2 linked regions of the Daphnia pulex genome follow. The protein of the gene in region 2 interacts with the protein of the main gene of each other region in a pairwise test. Links are inferred from orthologs where the notes say so. Each region holds a gene or a part of one and is shown on either strand. Other genes may lie near its edges. The genes, in order: putative peptidyl-prolyl cis-trans isomerase dodo and transcription elongation factor SPT5-like.

Region 1 (10,986 bases), about 350 kb from region 2:
AGTAATTGACAAAATTTACACAAATTTGTGGTGCTTTAAAGTTGCGTTCGATTCTTTTCATAGCGACAACGACAGTAGCCGTACCAACGGCACCTGGTCCATTTGAATGTCCCGAACCGAATGGATACTTCCCCAGTCCTTATTCTTGCTCTCAGTATTACGTTTGCCTTGAAGACAATTCGTATCTTTATGTAAGCTACAATATATTGTCTTATCTGCATATTATTTTCGTTCTCAATTAACGCTTTGTTTTTCTCCTGACAGAATTGTCCTGCTGGACTTTATTATAACCCAGCTCTCGAAGCCTGTGATTGGCCAGCCAATGTCAACTGCAATTTGCCTGGATTTTAGAAAATTGGTGAGAACAATTTATGTGAAAGAGTCGTATAAAATACTATCACCTACTAAACTTCCTCTCGATGTATTTACAACGTTTATTTTAAAAGACACACTTATATCTTACATATTATGCGAATCATTAGTTAATACAAGTTACGTAATGATGTAAAAAAACATTATTTACGTTGAAAGCAGCAGTTAAGAATTATATAGTCAACCTAGGTTACGAAGAGATAAGTAAAGGTGAACTCTTGGAAGATTTATATAATCGCTTAAATGTTATTTCTCTAAAAGTTCCATCTTTAAGAATATCATAGCTGATGTCTTACAACTGTCAATTTTCCTAACAGCAGTAATCATTTTAATACCAGAAAAGCTGCAGCATTTTCATTTTGGTGTTGGAACTACTAGGAAATGGTTTCCAATCTGAAAGTGAAAACTTAGTATTAGACTATTTATTTCAAATTTAAAGTTTTAACCTACAAAACCTTCATCAAAGTCAGTACACAAGGAATGTTCTCTGTGTTTAGTCTCTTGGTATCATAAGGATCATCTGAGAGCTCCACATCAGGTTGATATCCGTCCATGGTTGCTATTTTAATAGATGGAATTTGTGTTGCAAAAAAAGAGCCGATTTCTCAGCCAATGACACTGCATCATAAGAGTCCCCTCCACATTCAAGAATCTATTTTAATGCCATTAAAATGTTTCATGAGAATTTGTTGATTGGTGGAAATATCACATCAGCTATACCAATATGTCAACATACAAGACCCAACATTGCTGTCGACTGTCGTGTCAATAAAGAAAGTTGTCACCCCATACTTTCGAGTCAAACTCGCGCGTAGGTTTTTAATTTTTTGGGCGGATTCATTTCGGTTAGCAATTTTTTTTCCCGTTCATATTGTTATGAGGCTTTTTTTTATCCCTACAAAACGATTAATCGAACAAAAACATCGAACCCAAAGCTAAAAAGACACCAACTCCGCAAAAAAAAACCCTATCGGGAAACTCGCGCGCGAAGCAAGGGATCGGCATACAAGTTACGTAATGATGTAAAAAAACATTATTTACGTTGAAAGCAGCAGTTAAGATTTTGATTTAAAAAAAAATAAATCGGTACAAATTAATAGTAGAATTTCCCCCAAGCCTAAACACTTTCAAGTTGTCTCGAAGCGTCTCGAAAGCTTGAGAGAAAAAAGTGTCGCCCAGTTCGCCACTCGCTAGTGGAGTTTTATCGAGGAGGAAACTCACTAAACAAATAATAACCCACGTAGGTTCTAGTAGAAAATTTAATTAAGGAATAATGTCTGAAATGAAATGACTCAAATGAGATTACTTTTTTGGAATTTCCCCTCCATGCAACAGGAAATGAAGTCAAAGGCAACGCTGCTGAATTGTGCAAAACAAAAGAAAAACAAAGGTCCTACGCAACGCAATGTGCTTTTAACACAGCATTCGATACCATCTCGTCGCAAATTTCGTTTCCTATTAGAAAACGTGGCCTCTTGGCCTAGATTCACTGTTTTTCTCTTTTAATTTCTGACCATTAAAATATTGATGTAAATTTTGTACCGTTTCTCATCGTTTTAGTTCGCTGACTTCCGTTTTAATTTCGAGAACTTTTGGTATGAGAAATTGTGAGATTTGTCTTATGTGAGTTATTTTAGTATTTTTACTTCAATGATTGAATATGGTATAGGCAGAAAATGAACTTGGGTTTAAAAGAAGAAGTGAAAGTAGTGGTGAATTCCCTACTAGTTCCACATTCACGAGGCTTGACTTTGGACAAGCTATTGAATGAGTATGCCAATGTTGAAATGAAAGAATTTCCATACAAGTTAGTATAAATACACTTCTACTTTGTTGAATAAATCTAGTTAACACAGTTTATCTTTTAAAGGCAACTTGGACACAATAACCCAGCTGATTTCTTAGCTTCTATTCCTGATGTAGTGAAATTTACTAGATTACCAAGTGGACATGTTCTTCTCCAAGGTAATAGTTTAAAATCCATTCATAACCTGCTCGAATTATTAATTTTTTCCATCTTTACCAGCTATTTCTAATTCAAAAACTGGTCACATTCAAGAATTAGTCAAAGGCCAGAAGAATAGTCAAACTGCTAGTTTTAAAAACTATAACAGAATAACTCAATACAACAATCACTATCAACCTCCTGCCAGACGATATCCCAATCATACAATGCAGGGCAATAGGAATCGCTTCCAACCAACACAATTTTCGGCACCTCCACGAAGAATGACTCAATCCTATTCTAACATGGCAGGCAACACAAATGGCAAACCAATGGCTTCACAAGTACAAAGTTTGCTAACTTAATTTTTAAAAAAAAGCTAAATAAATTTTTCTATTTTTATTTAAGGTTGTACATATAAATGCAAATTCATTGATGGCTGAAATAACATCATCCCGAACATGTTCAAGTGTTGAATATGAGTCTCAACTGGTGTCTGAATTTAAAAATCTTTTTCAGTCTTATCCTGATGGAATTGACATTGCTCATGTCTTTGCCCTCTATTCGAATAAGTTCAAGAAAGAAGTGTCTCTTCAAAATATTGAGCCGAACTTGACTTCTTTTGCCTTCTTCCAACGACATAGTAACGTGTTTAGATTGTGGAAGCGTTCAGACAACACTTTGGTGGGTCTTGCAGGAAATGAGACACTACGACCAAGTCAACTAGAAACAGCAATTCCGTCACCACATGCAGATCGAGGGAGTCTAACTGGAGCAGTGCCCAAGATGCACACTCCAAATAATGCAGCTTATTCAAATGGTCAATCTCCTACGAATAGAGCGACTCCAAAGTTTCAATCACCGACTACTGCAGTCCCTGTTCAATTCACATCTCCGACTAACGTAGCTGCCACAACACAGTCGGAAGATACAATGTATCGTACAACGAATGGACATCTTGTTCAAACTCAGTGGACCGCGTTGGATATTCGCACGCGCATTCCCGGGACTAAGCCTTTACAAACAGTGATAGTTGGTGGCAGAGATTCTGAAGAAAATCTTGCTCACCTCGTGCCACCGAAACTTGTACCCGTTCCTTGGCACGCCCCGCCTCGCGCCGACGAAGTTTTGCCCGATACGTTTGGTATATTTTATTACTTTGATAATTATTTGACAAGTTTGATTTCACATTTATCTCTTTTTCGTTTACACAGGTGTACGTAAACCCAAGATCAAACACGTTTATGAAGTTGACATCCCAGTGGGACGTCAGGCATTCCCTGGAAATTTAGCCGATTTCGACTATTTCTTTCTGATTGTTGCGGAGGTCTATTCTCCAGGCGAATTCTATTGGTTCTTGAGCGAGAACAGAAAGCCCATTGAAGATCTTACAGATGACATGACGTAACTTAAAAATCATAAAATATGACTGCGGCCTGGAAATTTGACTTTTTACATTTGAAATTCAGGTTGTTTTACAGCAGTAACCCTGAGTATGTCATATCCCGGACTGAGATGTACATTGGCCAGCTAGTTGCTGCCATGTACACTGACAATCTCTGGTACAGGGCTCGAATCGTTGGATGCCATGAAGAATATTTCCAGGTTTTTTATGTTGACTATGGTAGTAAAAACTTCGTGAAGCTGGACAGGATCCGTCATCTCCATCTCCATTTTTTGAAAATGCCTCTGCAGGTAATTTTGTCTTCAAAAAATGGTTCGTTTGTGTTGCATTTAAATTTCCCTGTTATATTCCAGGCTTTCCGAGGTCGAATTTTTGGCATCCAGCCGTTACAACACGAGACTAAGTGGTCATTTGAATCAGGGAAATGTTTTTTGGATCTCATTAAAGGTGATTTCATTAAACTGTGTATTCATATAGACAGCTCATACTTATTATTATAAATTACTTAGGGTGTAAGATTATTGCTGCTGCAAAGATGGTTGAAGAGACCTTAGAGATACCAGAGTATGAAATCGACACAGTCTACTCTTTGACTTTGGTTGATACAACAAAGGAGAAAGACATCCACGTCAGTGATTATTTGATTGAAAGTGGATTTGTTTCGCCTTGCGAAGAGGAACAAATTGCTGTTGCCTCCGCAAATTCTGTTTATGAATATTCCACGCCGTCGCCTCCAGCTGAACACACCGGTAGAGCGCCTTCACCAAATCCAACTGAACACACCGGTAGAGCGCCTTCACCAAATCCAACTTGCGCGTTTCCCTCATCGGCAGTAAATTCAGTTACAAGCCAGATGCAGACAACAAGCATTTCGATTACGACACCGACCCTGATTTCAAATAACGAACATCTTGATTTCGAGAATCCATCAATAGACGAAGAGGTATTCAATGAAAGAATTTCTTCGAATATCCAGCCTGAAGAAAACGTGATTGCCTCGGTGAATGAACCCCTTCCAGTCTTAGCATCTGAAAGAAGGTAAAGAAGCTTATTTTTTTTTAAATACTTAAACTTGATTTCAAACTCCATTATTTCGATTGTTTGCAGTTTGGAGGCGAATGAGTCAAAATGCGTCGATGTAATAGGTAAATCCCCATTGAACTATTTCGCTGTTTTTGTATTTTTTTGAAATTTCATAATTCTATATTGGATTTAAATGTCATCAGTTTTGAAAGACGAACGAAGGCTATATACAGTAGAAGATGGTGGTGAATTGTATCTTCCTAAGCCGGACATCTTAATGCTCATCCCGAGTCTGGATAGTCAAATTGCCGCCTTTAAAGCAAAGATCGACTGCAAAGTAGTCACTGCCGAAACGCATCCAAATATCTTTGCCGATTGCGCGAAGTAAATATCTTTAGCCATAATTTTACATGATTTAAAAGAAATTCATCTGATTTCGTCTTATAGGGCTGGGGCACCTTGGATGAAAGATGATTCCTTATCTGAACTCACTCTTTATTCACTGCAATATGTTTCTCTACTGTTCTTCTTGTGTTCGGTGAAAGATAAGGTTGCCTCTTCAGCTATTGAGGTAATTTATTGCATCTAAGTTATCAAATAATTAATAAAGCATGTATTAACATCATTCTTTGATGTTTGTAGGCAAAGCGAAAAGAATTCAGCAATAAGTAAATAAGCACATTTTTCTTTTTATGATTTTCATTGAGTGCTCAAGTTTGAGCAATTAATTACCTTCCAATTCTTTATTTTATCTGATAAACAAGTATTTAAACCAGGAAAAATCAGTTTTTATAAAATTGAATCAAAACTGTCATTGAACAAAACATACTGTCCTAATTTTGTAATTTACTTGTATTGTTTACTTTCCGTGCAACAATAATACAGAATGTAAAAAATGAAAAATTTATGAATTAAAGATGAAAATTTTCTGTAAACTAAAACGTCTTTTGTAAATTCAAATTGTATTGTAAAATCAAGTTCAAATTTGAAATTTATGTTAATGAAGAAGTGCAAGTGCTGCCACCTAGAGATATGCTACCTAGTTACCTACAGTATCTCCTTCTCTGGACTGTTCTTTGCTGTCAAAGTCAAATCAAGCCGACAACTTTGTCGTAGTTTGAAAACCATACATACTATTGTCGCTATTTTATATTTAATATAATTCGTCGTGTGCACATTTCGCAAAGTCTCTATACTCAGTCAACACCACCATCAAAATGTCTGAAGAATTGCCACCTGGTTGGGAGAAACGTGTAAGCCGATCGTCAGGTAATATAGTCATCTTCTTTAATGCAATTAGTAGCTGGAAACTATTGTGATTTTCGCTTTTATTTATTCACTTTGTATTGATTGCAGGAACAAGTTACTACTTGAATATCTACACCAAAGAGAGTCAATGGGATGCTCCAACTAAACCAGCAGAGCGTGCTTCATCAAACGGCCCAGAAAAGGTTTGTTTTTATAAATAATTCTCTATTACTGTCATCAAACCAAATTGTAAACTAAAAGTGTATCTCTTAATCAGGTTCAATGCAGTCATCTTCTTGTCAAACACAGGGATTCTCGTAGACCATCATCATGGCGGCAAGACAACATCACCATATCTAAAGAAGAGGCTATGGATTTGCTAGTTGTTTATCAAGAGCAGATTGTTAATGGTGAAGCTTCGTTTGCTGAATTGGCCTCAAAATACTCAGACTGCAGTTCAGCCAAGAAAGGTGGAGATCTTGGTAGTTTTGGTAGAGGAGCAATGCAGAAACCGTTTGAAGATGCTGCTTTTAGCTTAAAAGTTGGTGGAATGAGTGAACCTGTGTGGACTGATTCAGGAGTTCATATTATTCTTCGCACTGCTTGAATTACATTTTTCTTTTAATTCTCTTTTTACTAGAAATTTTGGATGTTTTCGTCTATTGCATACCATACCCTTATACAACATTATTATTGCAAGTATAAATTTGTTTTTTACAATTTCTTCAACTAATTTAAGAAAACACATCAAGGGTTCAGAGTTTAGATTATCTAAAAATTTTTGTATTTACCTGACATTAAGTTTGGTAACACATACTGCATATTTCATGTTTGCTTACTGATGAATTTCAAAATTGCCAATCGATCAGATTATTTACACAAATCGATAACGTCACATAGGATTAAAAAGGGAACGACCACAGAATGAGAATATTAAAATTAGAGGGGTCAGATTACAATTTGGCGATAATCGATAGAACGTGGTAGTTTTTTTTGTTGTTGTTGTTTTATTTTTGCGCCTTCGGGACATAGAAGGAATGGATGGTTTACTCTTCTTTATGTGAAAAATGGGACCTAAAAAATATCAGGATAGTCTATTGTTCGAGACAAGTGGTGCGGACAACCACTTCGGTCACTTGATATGGATCAGAGTTGGAAGCCGGACGGCGATCTTCCAAGTAACCTTTGCGTTCTTCAGCCACTCCACGAGGCACGCGAATACTGCAACCGCGGTTAGCCACACCTGAAAAAGAATTTAAAATTTAAAAACTGAATTTAATTCAATCTCTCCATTTGACATACCGGCAGAGAAATCGTGAATGGACGAAGTTTCACAACGGCCGGTAAGACGTCGCTCATTGTCTTTGCCTTCATGGGGATCGTAGGCTTTGATGTGTTTCACATGGCAGCGAGACAATTTTTCAATCGCTTTTTCAATCTCTCTGTAAATTGGAAATGCCAGTTTGAAAATCAATAATTCATCATTCATTTTGTTTTTCTCTAAAACTTACGCAATGCCGTTCTCTTCTCGCATGGCTTTGGTGGAGAAGTTGCAATGAGCTCCAGCTCCGTTCCATTCACCTTTCATCGGTTTAGGATCCAGGGAAACATTGACGCCGAAATCCTCAGCGACGCGATGCAAAATGTAACGGGCCATCCACAAATCATCGCCCATTGTAATACCTTCGCAAGGACCAACTTGGAATTCCCACTGTAACAAAACAACAACAACAAGATTACGATATTGCCCTGACGTAATCTCCTGTTATCTTTTCAAGGATTTCAAATTTTTTTTTACCTGAGCGGGCATAACTTCAGCGTTGGTCCCCGAAATATTGACCCCGGCGTAAAGAGCAGCACGATAATGAGCTTCGACAATATCTCGTCCGAAAACTTTGTTGGCTCCTACACCGCAATAGTACGGTCCCTGAGGTCCGGGGAAGCCATTCTTGGGCCAGCCGAAAGGGTGGAGATCATTATCTAACAGAGTGTATTCTTGCTCAATGCCAAACCATGGCTCGTATTCGGCAGCCGAATTCATGGCTTCAAGGCAAGAGTTGCGATGGTTTGACTCGGTGGGTCTCTTGTTGTACTTGTAGGTGTCGCAGAGGACGAGCCTGTTGTTGCCCAAACAGAAAGGATCGCGGTAGATGGCCACCGGGTAGAGATAAACATCCGAATTGCTGCCTTCGGCCTGATATGTTGAACTTCCGTCATAGTTCCAAATTGGCAATTCTAAACAAAAGAAAAACGAAACAAACAAAACATTGAAGAATGGTTGGCCAGCGGCTAGAAATCTAAAAGATGCAAAAATGTTTCTAGTCGTAACCGGATTTGGAACCTTGTTTTTCTCATTCACCAAGGCCATTATAGTCCGAAACATTCATTAGTTATGCGAAGGAGCGTGCCAAATGCTCATAAATGGAAAAGAGGGCGTCTCCGACAGAGCGACAAAACAAATAATAGGAAGTTTTTCTTTTGTGTCAATTATTTACCCGATGGAGTCTTTGGGATGAAATCGATGGTTCTCGTCTTTGCTCGGACGTATTCGCCCGTGCCGTCGATCCAGACATACGTAGCCATGACTTTGTCGTCTGGCTGCGGGAGTCTCATGTAGCGATCCAGCACGGCTTTGTTGGTAGCGGACGCGTTAGTCATTAGACCTGCCATTTTTTTCTTTTGTGTTTCTGGGTTGTGAAGATTCTCCAAAAATTTCCAATCAAAGTCTTACACGTATCAACGATTCCCTGTTAAAATTTAAAAAATAAAACATTTAATTATTATTTGATATTTTCGTAGAGATAATCATCTGTCCCTGACTCATATGACTAAAAGGGACTATGTGGTCGACGGGTCATCCAACAAAAATAAATTGCGTTGTTGCTTTTATTTTCTTTGTCTCCATGCCAAAAATGTTGTTGTTGTGTTGTTGTGCTGCTGGTTATGTAAGATAGGCAAAGAGCAACCGAGAGAAAGGAAATTAAGCTGCTGGAGGTTTCTAGCTGGCTGGCTGGATCAATTTAAAAAAACCGCTCCGAACTGGATCGACGAAGCGATGTGAACCAGTCGGAACTGGATTCAGCACACACAAAGGAGACGGGAGGGGGGCACCGTGCAAGGATTTTCCTTGCACGACAGCGCAAGCGCACAGAGAATACCCCTACACATACGGGAGAGACTCATCATGGCAACAACCCAAAAACGTTCGGGATTTCCGCACGCAATGAACTCGCTCGTCCCCCCACAATCGTTAGATATTTTTCGAGTTTTCGCTTTTTGTTTTTTCACGCCAGTATGGGCTAGTGAAATTGCGCAATCTCTTCGGCAGATAAAAATGAGGCCGAGCAAAAATTTAAAAATGAAAAAAAAAAAATTCGTTCGGATGGCCAAAAAGGGGGGGATTACCACCAATCTCACTTGTTGACGACAAGGAATAGAAAAAGGATCGTGATATCACGTGATCTCCGTTTGACCCACTTTTCCCTGGTTCGCGCCTCAGCAACAACTTACTTTCAGTTTCGTAAACAACATGAAATATTTTATTATTTTTCAAGCCTTGTTAATCTGATAAAATCAACTCCAGACAAAAGGGTGGGGTTCCAAAAATATTCTAAGAAATCAATTAAGGGACGAAGGTCGCTTGGGGTGGAGTCGATAAAATACGCCCATGGAGCCTACATGACCTCGCTCGACCTTGACCCCCATCAAAATTTACAACAACCAAACAAATAGGAGTGGTCCACAAAAATTACATAAATGTCAAACCAGTTGCTAAGTGATGAAACCCAAATAAAAATCAGTCAGTCGTACCCGAATTGTTCTAAAGTTGCGGTCTCGAGTGGTGGTGTCCGCCTCTTGGTGGTGTGGACTCTTCTCGTTAGAAGAAGGTAGTGGATTGAGCTGCTAGTCGAACGAACGGCAGATTTTATAGACGAGTGAGAGAGAGAGGGGGGCCCCTCCTTGTCGTTTGAGACACCGAAAAGAATGACCGAGTGAAAGGCTATTGGTTCTCAAACTGGGATGTACCCCCACCATAAAGGAATAAAACGCACCGTGCACAAGAAATGCAGATGGAGTCGTTCAAAAAAACCTCCTCCTGCCTCCCCCCCACCACTCTGCGCACATACACACACAAAAAGAAACAAGAAAGCTGGCGCTATGAGGTAATGTGCCATTCTATACTCGGCGTCAAGCCCAACTCGAATCCATAACAAACATATGAAGCAAGAACCGTGAGGGACTTTTTCCGTAGGGCAGTGTAGACACGACAGCGTGTATTCTTTGTGTGTAGTTTGCTTCACGTTCCCTCTCTAAAAAAGACTAGGGACCAATGGCAATCGGCATCGCACGTGATACCCTACTGATCACACTGTTCCCCTTTGGCTTTGGAGATATTATTTTTATTTATTTTGTTTTACAACTTAGTTTAACTTCATGGGTTTTTTAATAATGCTCACGGTCAAACGGTCTACATTTTGGGTTTCAAATTTGCTCTTAAATTTCACGCCGTTGTTTGTTGTTGACAGCCAAATCAACCGGCCATCAAACAGTATGACGTAGTGCGTGTAATACAAGGACTTTATAAAGATATAGATGTAATGGGTTTATTGGGAAAAATTCACCTTTGATCGAGTCAGTTGGTTGTTTACAAGTTGGGATTGATATCAATTCAGGGCATTGGAGATGAAAATAACAGAAAACAATAGCTTTCATAACCTTTGATCGTTGAACAATAATTAGTCGAGTTAAAAACAAGTGACGTCACTGAAAAATCTATTAGTACATGGCCTTGTTTTTTTATATTATTGATGGTCACCTGTCCGTCACATTACAGTTACGTATTATAATCAGTCTGTGTGATTTTGTATCGATCGCGTCTAGCCCCCCTCCAAGGACATAAACTTTAAACATTTTGTCTGAGCGACAAAGTTTGCTCAATCCAAAGTGTCTGGATTGTTAAAACTATACGTCGGTTCATTTGTTGATAATAATT
Region 2 (12,578 bases):
ATCTTCTTCGAGGTGTGACCTATATATTTGTTCATCACCCTTGGAATTTTAACTCAGTTTTTATTTACTAAGCGTTGCGTAATTTGGAGTGTCAATAAAAAATGCGACGCGAGGTTTAATTTGAGAATTCTATTTGACATTTATTCATTCTCTTTTCAAGAAAGGATGATATGAAATAATTTGATGATTTCTCTGCGCACAGAACTTTCTGAATTATAACACAATGGTGTCCATATCCAGTCCCGTTTCGTGGAATTTCCAGCGTCTTATAAGGCGCCTTCACACTAGCACTGTAATTCTTATAGACGTATGGTCGGGAATTACCATAGAAACGTGGAACTAATCAGAACAACGAATGGCAGCGGCTTGTTATAATGAGACCATATAAGAATTCGGCTATAGGATGGACACTTTAGCGAGGGACACCTCGCTGTCGGTTTTCGTCGCTGTTAAGCCGTTGGCTTACGCTCAAAAGATGAGTTTCAACCTTTTAAAAAACGAAAAGACAAATTTAATTATCTGTGCAAAGCGATCAATCCAAGTAACTTACCACACGATAAAAGAGGCAGGAGACCGGAAGTTCGTCCTCGCCATTCGGGCAGTGACGCACACCGTCACACTACAATCGCGAAAGTGCACATGAGTATTATTCATTCGAAGAAAACTATAATGAATCAAAGCGTCCTACTAGTTGGAAGTCGTCGATGCAACGCCAATTGCCATTTCGGTCTGGCGTGGGACAATAAAATTCGGGTTGGCCGTCCTTCGCCGTTGGGCATTCTATACAAACAATGCGGATAATAAATCAACGACAGATCATTCATAAAACTTAAAACTGTCTGAGTAGATACCAGATAATCTGTGCATATACCATCAACTCGGTTCGGTCGACATTACAAAAGAAATTACGAAAGACATGATATAAGACTTACGGCCCGATCTGGCGAGGTACCGATACTGATAGAGCGGATCGAGATGAATAGGGAAGCGTTTGGTTCGACGTAATCCGCTACTGGTGGTGCCACGAATTTTCATTCGTGTTCTCTTGACTTGTTTCTTTTCTGTCGGCAGATCGTTATCGTTGCCGCAACACGACGGCGACTCTTGGTGCTGCTGTGGCATCAGCATCAGCACCGGATCCGGCGTTTTCGAACTGCTGCTAATCGATGGGCTAATGAACGGCTCCAGCATTTCCGAATCTGAAACAGGTATCGATGAGTCGAGTTTGACATTCAAAGAAGAAGAAGCAATACTGCTGCTGCTGCTGCTGCTACTCTGACAACACAATTCCATAGGCAGGCTCAGGGCGGAAGGCAGAATAGCCACTAGTACGAAAACTTTCCAATCCATCGCTCCTGATGCTGTGAGATGATGGTTTCCGCCTTTGGTTTGATAAGTGATGTTGCTGCTGATGCGACAACTCAAATGATTTTGACACCTTTTGAAAAAATACGGAGCTATAAAACTGTTGCAATCCCGGTGCGAGCAGCCAGAGAGTGATTCCTTGTCTTTCTATGGCTGTCTCTTTTATAGGATTATAGATGCTGCTGGAGAGGAAGCAGCAAGACATAAAGAAAGGCTCTCCTCTCGTCCATATCCCGATCCTACGCGCAGTCTCCATAATCCATGCAGATTAGACTCTGTCAGCTTCATCACACCATCGCTCATAATATACTGTAAAGAAACTGAAAAGCCTCCCAAGTATCCAACAGCTGCATGAAAGGAGGTGAAAGCCAAAATTGTGCCAACTGGTTTTGCAAGGTGCACATTATCATTTGGGACCCTCAATGTCGGCAATTCAATTGCGGCATGGAAGCCTTTAAGAATTCATTTCCCTTGAAACGGTTTTTTAATTATTACATCGAATTGTTATTTGGATATTAATCATTGCGTTTAATTTTACCTACTAATCAATCTGTTAAGTCAACCTATTTCATGTATACATTTGTAAAAGTGTAGAGTTTCAATATGAACGTATAACAACTAAATAGGTGGATTCTGCGTGATATTTTTTCTTGGCAAAACCGTGTATTCAACCAATACGCGTTTGGACTGCTTCCATGATTACAGTATATCACTTTATATTTGGAAAATAATGGTCACATATGCATCTGAATAACACCAGTTGAAGGAAAGGCATCTTTAGGAAGAAAAGAATATTTCGCTAGAATCGCCAACACAACATAATGGAAAAGAACATTGATGGAATACAGCACGGTCCCTCTGCTCAGGACTTCCCCCTGGCTTCCATCGGCAGTTCGACTGGCTGCTCATGAATGAGATACGTCCATTATTCATGCTGTTAGCATATTATCCATCTATCCATTAGCTAGAAGAACCACTTTCCTCCCCCCACCCGTACAAGTACAATAAATGTAAGCTACACATTGAATTAATGATTTGACAGTAGCTTTTTCGAGACTAAATTAGATTTAGATCTTACGCGTGAATCGATGTCAACTTCAATCGCCGCCTTTTCAATTGAAACGGGATGATTTGGTTGCGCATCCCACTCCAGAGTTGATTTACAGACAAAAAAAAACCCAGTGACAATTAAGCCACTTTCGTTAGCCGCCGACATGTCATCGACATTCGTACAAGCAGATCGTCTTATTCGAGCCTTTCCTTTCATGTTCTCAACAAAGGCCTTCCGGTTGTACCTACATCCAATTAGACATCAATGAGCTCACGTGCCTGTGACATACCAAGGAAAAGGTGGAATATATATGCCATCTTATAGGCCCAGTTCTATTACCAACGTGTGCAGTTTTCATAAAGCGATTATCGATCTTTTCATTCGGAATATAACGGTGACGGCTGAAAGATCACATGCGGAATGGAATGGATACCAAGGGAAAACAAACAAAAGATTTCCGTAGAATAGCCAAGAGTATCAATACCGATTCTGAAAACTACCGAGCCTAACATTCTCTTCGCTACCTTTTATGTCCGGTGGCAATTAATTTCATGGCTGATGAACGATAGCTAGAGCACGACTTTGATATTCTGATTCTGACGATGTGTTTGACGTCACGTTTTTGAACAAACTTTGAAACCTTTCACGTTGGTAACCAGTTTTTTCTCGCAGTCGAAACATTTTTTTTTTAGTTTAGGAGAACGACAAACCGATAACAAAAAAGAAAAAAAAAATCTATTTCTCCATTTCATTATTCGCCTCTTGGTCATACACGATATTTGATGGGCTGGCTCCCTTTTCAACCTTTTCTTTATCGAGACACACCTCAGATTTGCCGTCTTCCTCCATCGCCTCCGTCTTATTTTCACTATGAATTTCACCATTTTCTTTATTTGTAGCGGCCGCAGTCTTATTACGGTCTTGAAGTGCAATTCTGACGTCATCTCGAGGTAACAATGTCAGAACTTGGTCTGCTGAAGGATTCGTTTCCTTGGTGAGCCGTATCAATAAGAACTGGATGTTTTTTCTTTTCCTTCCGGCAATATGAGGTGGAAACCAATTGCTTAGTTTTATATTCCGTAAATTATAATCCAGAAATGGACTCTGAATTGATGAAATAAAAACATTAATTCAGCAAAATAAAAAAATTAAATAAAAAATTTTTAACTTACCATCATAAAGTATTCTGCGTATTGAAGCACAAATATCCCGCAATCGTACGAGTTATTTTGTTGAGGCACATCAAGGCATGCCGATATCATCGAGTCTTTAGTAAAGGGGTTGGTTGACGGTTTAACGGCGTCCCTTCTGAAAGCAACAATTGATTTCTCATTTGGCTTCATTTTCTTTACTTGGTGTTCCACCATTAAATACTCGCGAAGAGTCGTAGCAACTCGATTGTGTGCGCTTCCCGCCAATGAATCAAAAAATAAGATGCAAGGCCTAGAATACAAGAATAAAACATAAGAATGTCGCATGAAAAACACTACACTAAAGGCAAACTGTAAAGCATTATTAAAAGACAAAAATGAATTTGAATTACTGTTTGATAGGACCAGCAATCTCTGGCAATTTTTCTACTGGAGTGCGGTCGATTGCACATGATAATTCTTCTTCGTCGCTCTCAGCTTCGTCTCTTTCTGTGTCAACATTCAACGTAATCTGGTCATCTTTGGTCGACTAAAGAACGGATAAGAACAAGCAAACAGAACAAATTGGTTCGTTTATCATGTCGACTCGTTTAAACTAATAAAGGCAGACATCAATACCTTTGAATTTGAGTTAACAGGCGTAACTGTGGTATTTCCTATGTGAAACGATTCACCGTTCACGGCCACAAATGACCTCTGTAAGTCGGCGGTTGTTTTCTTGGAGTATGTTTGTTGGGGGCGAAGTTTGATGGGTTGATTGTCTATGGCGGTCACCGGTCCTGATAACCAAGGAAAACAGACAATGGCTAGAAACCAATGGTTACGCTCGTTGATGGGTATCACGAGATAATCCTTTTCAAAAATGTCCACTTTCTTTGTCCACGATTTAACTCTCGAATGACGTTTCTCCTTTATCGAAAGGGAATCGTCATCTTCAATTGGATGTTTCCTGCGTAAATTCATCTCTAGAGTAATTACACTTCAAAATGGTTGTTGTAATAGATTAAGAGCTTGTACCGTCCATTGACTTTGGGTGGGCGAGTCGTTAACCTTTGGTAGAAAAACGATGAAAATACGTGGCATTTCTTCTTCAGACTTTCATCAATTTTAGTACTGAAAACGTATCGAAGATAAAAGTCGATGATACTGCAAAAGAAAAACAAAGCAAATAGTTAAAGGTAATTACAGAAAAAGACAACGGTGCAATGCCAAATTTACCTGTCATTTAGTAGATTGTCCTGATTTAAACAAGCATAATCTTCAGTGGTTACTGAGAAGCGGTCGGGTCCATCCGACCAGGAAAACATTGGAGTCACTGGCAAAACAGTTCTTGCGAGAGATTTACTGGATCCCCTGGTTATTCGTATCTAGAAGAGAATGAAGACTGATTTTAGGCACAAATTCGGCTTTCAACTATACGAAGTACACACTTAACCAATAGCGTAGTTATTGGTATTAGCATTACGACTACTTACTTCAACTTTGCTAGTGTCGTCTTTGCCACCATTCAGTTGCGTTTCAGTTGTCGAAACACTCGTTTCTGCTGATACAGCAGTGGTCGCGGGGAGACGTTTAAGCGCATCACGAACTTCTGGGGGTGAGGAAATAACCAAGAGCCGGTTGGCCTCGGCCTGATTAATTTCGTTGTAAACACCTTGAGGAACGAAGACTTGTTTGATTGCGTTCTTCGCTGCATCGTCCAACCCATCGGGCAGCAGTGTCAATCGTTTTTTATTTTCGTCTTCGCTAGCAGAATCCCAATATGGGCCACTTTTGGGTAACCCTAATTTTGTTGAAAGCTGGCGACACCAGCTTGGACCAACATTTAGGAAGATGACTTGAAGCTTTCGGCTGAAAAAAGCGTCCACTTTTAATAGTTGCTGACTTGGGATAGCTACATTGACGCAAACAGCATTTTTTTCTGATGGCCCATCGTGGTTGTGAAAAACTGGAGCTTGCAGCATAATTCCTTCGGATGAGAATAACACACGTCCCACTGGAGTAATCTTATATGATCCAATACGAACAGATCGGCAGTTTACGGCAAAGAAAGGTCCATTCAATCCACCTTCTTTCCAACGGAGCAAATCACTAGATCCAATTTCCTCTTCTGCATCAATAGGCAAATCCATTGAGACACCATTTAAAGGTTCACCTAGAAGAAAAACAAAGAATTTAAAAGAAACAAAAAGTAAGATAAATTAATAAGAAAAACCAGCAGAGGAAATAAATGTGTTTAACTAACATTCTTTAATATTTGGCTGTTCTTGAATCACAATTGAAGGTTTAACATCCAATTTTTCAGTTGATTTGTCGGTACCATCACATTTGAGTTTTTTGGTTTCCTGAAAGGAGTCATCATCTTCATCGCTACTCAGTGTTACACACTGTGGCTCCTCAAATTTGGCTCTACTCTGTCTTGAAGGTTGAGCATTTTGAGTCCGAGTGCGTCGGTAGCCATATGATGAATCATTTGACATCTGAGAGATTCCGGATGATTTGTTTCCAGGTAATGACTTAAGATTTGAAGTGAGAGGTACCGTTTTTTCTTTTTCAAAGACGCGCATGCACCTCATACATTTATTAGTGGAAACCAAATGTCCACAGTGGGGGCAATTAGCACTATCTGGATCTGGTGATTGCCCACTGCATTTCTCTTCTGAATTTGTCTCTTGTTTACCCTGTACAAAAACACAGTTTACTTGTAATAGAAAATGTAAAAAAAGAAACAAAAACTTACTGTGATCCCAAGTTTCTGAGTGGATTTTTGATTGATCACTTTGTGACCAACCTGTTTTCTGTATTCTTGAAGTGTTATCTTCTTGATGCCCTTACTATTTGAGTTATGTTTCAGTAGTTTCGGTTGAATGTTTTCAGAAACTAAAACAGCCTTAATCTCCGGTACCGAAACTGACCGCTGGTTTGAATTGACACTAAGTTCGGACTTGGAACTCGATTCCCCCATACTAATTATAAAATCTCAACCATCTGGACTGAATATCAACAGTTCTACGTCAGTATGATTTCATCCTGATTTACCTGTCACATGTGCTATCCGAAAAGTACATTTACCTATGAAGGCTATGATATATGACTTCGTTAGATCTGTGCAGTACCAGCAGTATTGACTGTCGTCTCATGTGCTCTCCCGTTTCAACTAAACTAAACCAGGTAGGCCAAGTAACGACAAAATACTTAGTGGCAAGTGGCGCTATGGTACCCCAAACAATATATTTGAATTGAATAATTATTTCAGAAATGAATGATATAAAACTACATAAGATAATTAATTTCCTTAAATTTATTGAATTTTAAAATGGATAACTTTGAAAAGCCATAGGCCTATTTTACATTTAATGAAAACATTTGCGAAATACTTTCGAATCAAAGGATAGATGGCGTGTAAAGACTCCCAAACTTGTTTATCCATGCATTGCAAAATTTCCTCTGGTGAGTGACGCAGATGAATTCAATTTAGGAACAACATAGTTGGAAAGAAAGAACAATTTACCTGTTTTCTATCTCATTGAAACGTTGTAGCATTGTTTGGTTTAAGGTGCAATCGTTGTTTTTCTTCTTCAAAAAAGTATTCAGCAAGCAATTAAAACATGTCGGACAGCGAAGATAGTAATTTTTCCGATAGGAAGGAAGCCCTCAGTGATGCTGAAAGTTCGGTATGGTTTACACATTTCCATTTTACTTGACGAAATCTAACCTTTAAATTTTGAAGGATAATGACTCTGGTGGCCGTAGTCACAAAGCAGTAAACAAGAAATCTCTGAAAAAAGACAAATCCAAAAAGAAAAAGAAAAGGGATAAAGGTGCAAAAAAAAGTAAACGCCATAGAGGCAGTGATTCAGAAGAAGAAGAAGATGACGAAGAAGTTGAAGAGGAAGAAGAAGATGAAGATGAAGAAGAAGTTAATGGAGGAAGAAGAAAGCGAAAGAAGAGTGATAGATTTGGTGGTTTTATTCTGGAGGAAGCAGAAGTCGATGATGAGGTTGAAGATGAAGAAGAATGGGAAGATGGAGCTGAGAACTATGGTCTGGTAGGAAACGAAGTTGACGAAATGGGGCCCACAGCGAGAGAAATTGATGGGAGACGCAGACAACAGCAAATGTGGGAGTAAGTTGTAGATAAACACAAGCTTTAACACATTTTATCCAAAGTATTAACAATACATTTTCTCTCTACAGTAGTTCAAAAGAAGAGGAAGTAGAGGAATATTTTCGAAAGAAATATGCAGATGAAGCTACTGTTACTAGACACTTTGGAGATGGTGGTGAAGATATGACTGATGAAATTACCCAGCAAACTTTGCTACCTGGAGTCAAGTACTGTATTTAATATTTTTTTTTTTTTAAGGAAAGAGTTAACTTACAATTCTTATTTCAGAGATCCAAATCTGTGGATGGTCAAGTGCAGATTGGGAGAAGAGAAGCAAACAGTATTTCAACTGATGAGAAAATTCATTGCTTACCAATTCACAGAAGAACCATTGCAAATCAAATCAATTGTGTCTCCTGAAGGCGTCAAGGGATATATCTATGTTGAAGCTTTCAAACAAACCCACGTTAAGCAGGCGATTGACGGTATCGGTAGCCTTCGCATGGGTCTCTATGCCCAGCAGATGGTCCCAATCAAGGAAATGACCGATGTTCTACGAGTTGTAAAAGAACAGAGTGTAATGAAGCCCAAATCATGGGTTCGTCTGAAGCGAGGCATATTCAAGGATGATATTGCCCAAGTTGATTATGTGGATGTAGCTCAAAATCAGGTTCATCTAAAATTGATCCCACGAATTGACTATAGCAGGCCACGTGGAGCTCTACGAACTGCTCAATCTGATGCAGAAGCAAAGAAAAAACGCAAAATTCGTCCACCGTTAAAACTGTTTGATCTGGAAGCTATCAGAGCAGTCGGCGGAGAAGTTACAAGTGATGGCGATTTCCTTATTTTTGAGGGGAACCGATACTCCCGTAAAGGTTTTCTTTACAAAAATTTTTCTATGACCGCGATCCTTGCCGATGGTGTTAAACCTACATTGATTGAACTCGAGCGTTTTGAAGAGGCTGTAGAAGGGGTTGACATGGCCGTAAGTGTTATTCCAATTGTTTTTTATTTTTAATATTTAGGTCCTTTTCTGTCGTTAACTCATAATATAATTCTTATCTAGGTTCGAATTGTATCGGGTAAAGAAGAAGCAACCCATAATTTTGCTACAGGAGACGCTGTCGAAGTTTGTGAAGGTGAACTTATTCATCTCCGTGGAAAAATTGTGGCCATTGATGGCAATAAAATCACGGTCATGCCGAGACACGAAGATCTCAAGGACCCCTTGGAGTTTCAGGCTCACGAGTTGAAAAAGTATTTCTCGATGGGTGACCATGTTCGCGTCATTGCCGGCCGCTACGAAAACGATACAGGACTCATTGTTCGTGTTGAGGACAACATGGTTGTACTCTTTTCAGATCTTACAATGCATGAACTTAAAGTTTTGCCCAGAGACCTACAGTTGTGCTCTGACATGGCAACAGGAGTCGACTCCATGGGCCAGTACCAGTGGGGTGATCTGGTTCAACTTGACGCCCAGTCTGTTGGTGTTATCGTTCGATTGGAGCGGGAAAATTTCCAAGTATGTCTTGAACGATTCTCACACTTTCAGAGATCTAACTCTTGTTTTTTTATTTCATTAGGTTCTAAATATGCACGGAAAAGTTGTAGCAGTCCGACCGCAAGCTCTACAACGTCGTAAAGAGAATCGCCAAGCCGTAGCGTTGGATTCCGAGCAAAACACCATACAACGAAAGGATATTGTTAAAGTGATCGATGGACCTCATTCTGGTCGTCAAGGAGAAATCCGTCATCTTTATCGCAACTTCGCGTTCCTTCACTCCCGAATGATGCTTGAGAATGGTGGCATATTCGTTTGTAAAACTCGCCATCTTGTATTGGCCGGCGGTAGTAAAGGTGCTGCTTCAGGTTCACCAGCAGTATCGAGTTTGGGCTACATGTCACCCAGAATTTCTTCACCCATGCACCCGAGCGGAGGAGGAGGCGGGGGAGGGGGAGGAGGTGGAAGAGGCGGTGGACGTGGAGGAGGAGGTGGTCGTGGAGGTGGGGGTGGTGGATTTGGACGAGGTGGAAGAATTGGGCGAGATCGAGATTTGATTGGAAAGACCATTAAAGTTACACAAGGTCCATACAAAGGTCACATCGGAATTGTCAAGGTAAATTTTTGAAAACGTGTTTTTTCCCCTCTAGGAAAAGAATAAAGCATCTTCTTTTTTCATCCTTTCAGGACGCAACAGATTCAACAGCCCGCGTCGAATTACATTCTAAATGTCAAACAGTATCCGTTGACCGAACTCGAATTGCCGTTGTTGGAGGACCCTCCAAATCTGGCGCTGTTTCTACGTACAGCCAAACTCCTGCTTCACAGGCTGAAGGCCGTGATACACCCATGTATGCTTCTGGATCTCGTACTCCGATGTATGGATCACAAACTCCACTGTACGATGGTTCACGTACTCCTCACTATGGTGGTATGACACCTTCTCATGATGGATCCCGTACACCTGGACAATCCGGAGCTTGGGATCCAACCGTTACCAATACACCTGCTCGATCGACCGACTATGGAGATTTGGACAATTGGGATGATCAGTCTCCTTCGCCAGCCTATAACCCGGCGACTCCTGGGTCAGCCTACCATGTTGACACTCCACAAGGACCCTACACCCCTCACACACCAGGAACATCCTACGGTTCAGATCACACTTATTCACCCTACCAGCCCAGTCCGAGTCCGGCACCTTATCAAGCCTCACCGAGTCCATCCGGTTATGCTCCGACTCCTAGCCCAAGTACTGGGTTGCCATTCCATCCATCACCTGGAATGGCTTCAAGTTATACATCGCCATCTCCCATGAGTTATAGCCCTATGACTCCGGGTGTAGCTCCGTCACCTCTCAATCCTCAGACACCAGGGGCCGGAATGGATTCGTTGTCTTCTCAGGACTGGTATACCACCGACATAGAAGTACGTTTCAAGGATTCGCATAGTGATGCGGGACTCTCGGGACAGGTAATATTATTGATACTTCATATTAATTCATTTTCTTTTTCACTTAATAAATTAATATTTTTTAATGTGTAATTTTAGAGTGGTATCATCCGTGGCATATCTGGTGGTATGTGCTCTCTTTTCTTACCGGCCGAGGATCGAGTTGTAACAGTTGCTGGGGAGTTGTTAGAGCCCATCGTGCCAAGTCGGCGAGATCGAGTCAAAATCATTTTGGGAGAAGAAAGAGAAAGCTGTGGCCAGTTGCTTTCTATCGACCACCAAGAAGGCGTTGTTAAACTAGAATCTGGCGACGTTCGAATGTTCCAGCTGCGGTACCTTTGCAAGATGACGGCACGATAAAATGACCAGTTGCGTATTTGCGGGCCCCGACTTTACTTGGAACAAACAAACAAAATTCTTCACTTTCATTTGGGCTAGAAATTCACTGTAGCTTTGATGAGTTATATTGACGAGGGAACTTCAGAATGAAATGCCAATCGTTTTCATGTAACTGCTTGAAATAGTACGGATGAATACATGAAGTTTTCGAATACGGATAATAAGCAGTTTCCCATACATTCACATTGATTTTTAAACTCGAAAATTAAAAAAAACGGATAACAACGTAATTTATTTATAACAAAATTTATGAGCATTGCGTATAGGTAGTAACAACATTTCCGATCTTTTGAGTAACTGTTTTACATCCTGTCCCCTGATGTAAATCATCTGTGAAACCAAACATGGAATCCATATTATCAAATTGCATATCCATTCCACCAAACATATCATCATCATCCTATATAAATTTTAAAAAAGAAACATTTGGTAAGTTAGAATAAAAATATTTTGCTTAGTTTAATAAAACTTGCATTAAAAATGTTGCCAAAATTGAACATTGAGTCTGCTTTCTTTTGATGCTTTTTGTTGGTTGGAGAATGAAACTTGTGATGGAAGTCTCCAAAATGCTGATCAAACTGCATCATAAAATCATCGAAATTGAAGTTGTAAGCAAACTTTGAATGTTGATTCCCATTGTTTCTTGTGCCCTCTGCACCAAAATCATCATATTGTTTCCTTTTCTTGGGGTTGGAGAGTATTTCATAAGCTGTAAAATACATAGCAACAACAGAAATGAAATCTTAGTTTGTTAATTTTGAGGCCAAAAAATGCAAAACAAATGTTACCTTCAGCAATATCTCTAAACTTTTCTTCAAATGCTGGATTTTTGTCAGGGTGATATTTCAGGGCAAGTTTGCGAAAAGCTTTCTTGATTTCCCTTTCTGTTGCCTTGCTATCAACTCCTAGAATATCGTAGTAATTGCTGCCACCGATAGCTTCGATTGAATGTTTGGAAATATGTACAAGAAGAATAACAAACGAAGTTATGCAAATGAGTTTTCTCATGATCACTCAACAAAAGGAACAAGAAAACAAGGAACTCAACAAGGAAAAATGGAGATATCACTGCGAAAATGATAACGTGGATTATTTTGCGTACCTCGAAAGTTCTTATAGTCGAAATTGACTACGTATTTTTTAAATGTTTTTTTATTTATGAGTTGGAATGTGTTCATTCGTCTAGAAGATTGAAGATGCTCCTCCCCTTTATTGCGCAACATCACCTTATCCTTGGGCACATTAGCCGATTAACTATTACACTTCTCTAGGTTAGGTATATTATAAAATTTTGAATAGCTGAATTTCAGGAATAATTATTTAACAACACGATTAAAATAACTTAGATATTTTGTTATTAATTTTGTATTAAACGCAAGGGTGCGTTTTGGAAATGCATGTGTTGATGAACGGGCGATAGATGTCTCCCTCAAGCTTCTTTTCCGACGCATCAAGACAAGGAATTCTCAATCTGCGACGACTACCAGACGACGGTAGGCGATGAAATGCATCGTCCTGAAATCTGAAGCCAATTGCGTTCTTCTCG

What was found.
Region 1: the proteins of transcription elongation factor SPT5-like (region 2) and putative peptidyl-prolyl cis-trans isomerase dodo interact in binary tests that used the Homo sapiens proteins (3 or more experiments, as listed by UniProt). The link is inferred for Daphnia pulex from reciprocal best matches to the Homo sapiens genes SUPT5H and PIN1.

What each region holds. Positions count from the first base shown.
Region 1 is NC_060017.1:4,459,403-4,470,388, reverse strand, and holds putative peptidyl-prolyl cis-trans isomerase dodo, read left to right. Parts: upstream 1-5,797; 5' UTR 5,798-5,962; coding exon 5,963-6,014; intron 6,015-6,101; coding exon 6,102-6,196; intron 6,197-6,270; coding exon 6,271-6,600; 3' UTR 6,601-6,695; downstream 6,696-10,986. Other genes in the region: protein obstructor-E-like, read left to right, coding at 64-191, 265-351; tudor domain-containing protein 7A-like, read left to right, coding at 2,049-2,179, 2,243-2,337, 2,399-2,661, 2,726-3,461, 3,532-3,721, 3,787-4,012, 4,076-4,169, 4,232-4,760 and 4 more; glutamine synthetase-like, read right to left, coding at 7,088-7,236, 7,296-7,435, 7,505-7,704, 7,792-8,228, 8,489-8,663. UniProt on the Homo sapiens protein: Peptidyl-prolyl cis/trans isomerase (PPIase) that binds to and isomerizes specific phosphorylated Ser/Thr-Pro (pSer/Thr-Pro) motifs.
Region 2 is NC_060017.1:4,110,115-4,122,692, forward strand, and holds transcription elongation factor SPT5-like, read left to right. Parts: upstream 1-6,986; 5' UTR 6,987-7,175; coding exon 7,176-7,241; intron 7,242-7,297; coding exon 7,298-7,692; intron 7,693-7,763; coding exon 7,764-7,901; intron 7,902-7,962; coding exon 7,963-8,662; intron 8,663-8,743; coding exon 8,744-9,202; intron 9,203-9,263; coding exon 9,264-9,797; intron 9,798-9,868; coding exon 9,869-10,654; intron 10,655-10,732; coding exon 10,733-10,993; 3' UTR 10,994-11,190; downstream 11,191-12,578. Other genes in the region: uncharacterized protein LOC124194259, read right to left, coding at 413-487, 551-619, 689-780, 933-1,350; sentrin-specific protease 6-like, read right to left, coding at 3,152-3,520, 3,589-3,859, 3,960-4,096, 4,186-4,516, 4,585-4,713, 4,786-4,934, 5,043-5,722, 5,813-6,248 and 2 more; dnaJ homolog subfamily B member 9-like, read right to left, coding at 11,280-11,432, 11,506-11,741, 11,821-11,970, 12,135-12,255. UniProt on the Homo sapiens protein: Component of the DRB sensitivity-inducing factor complex (DSIF complex), which regulates mRNA processing and transcription elongation by RNA polymerase II.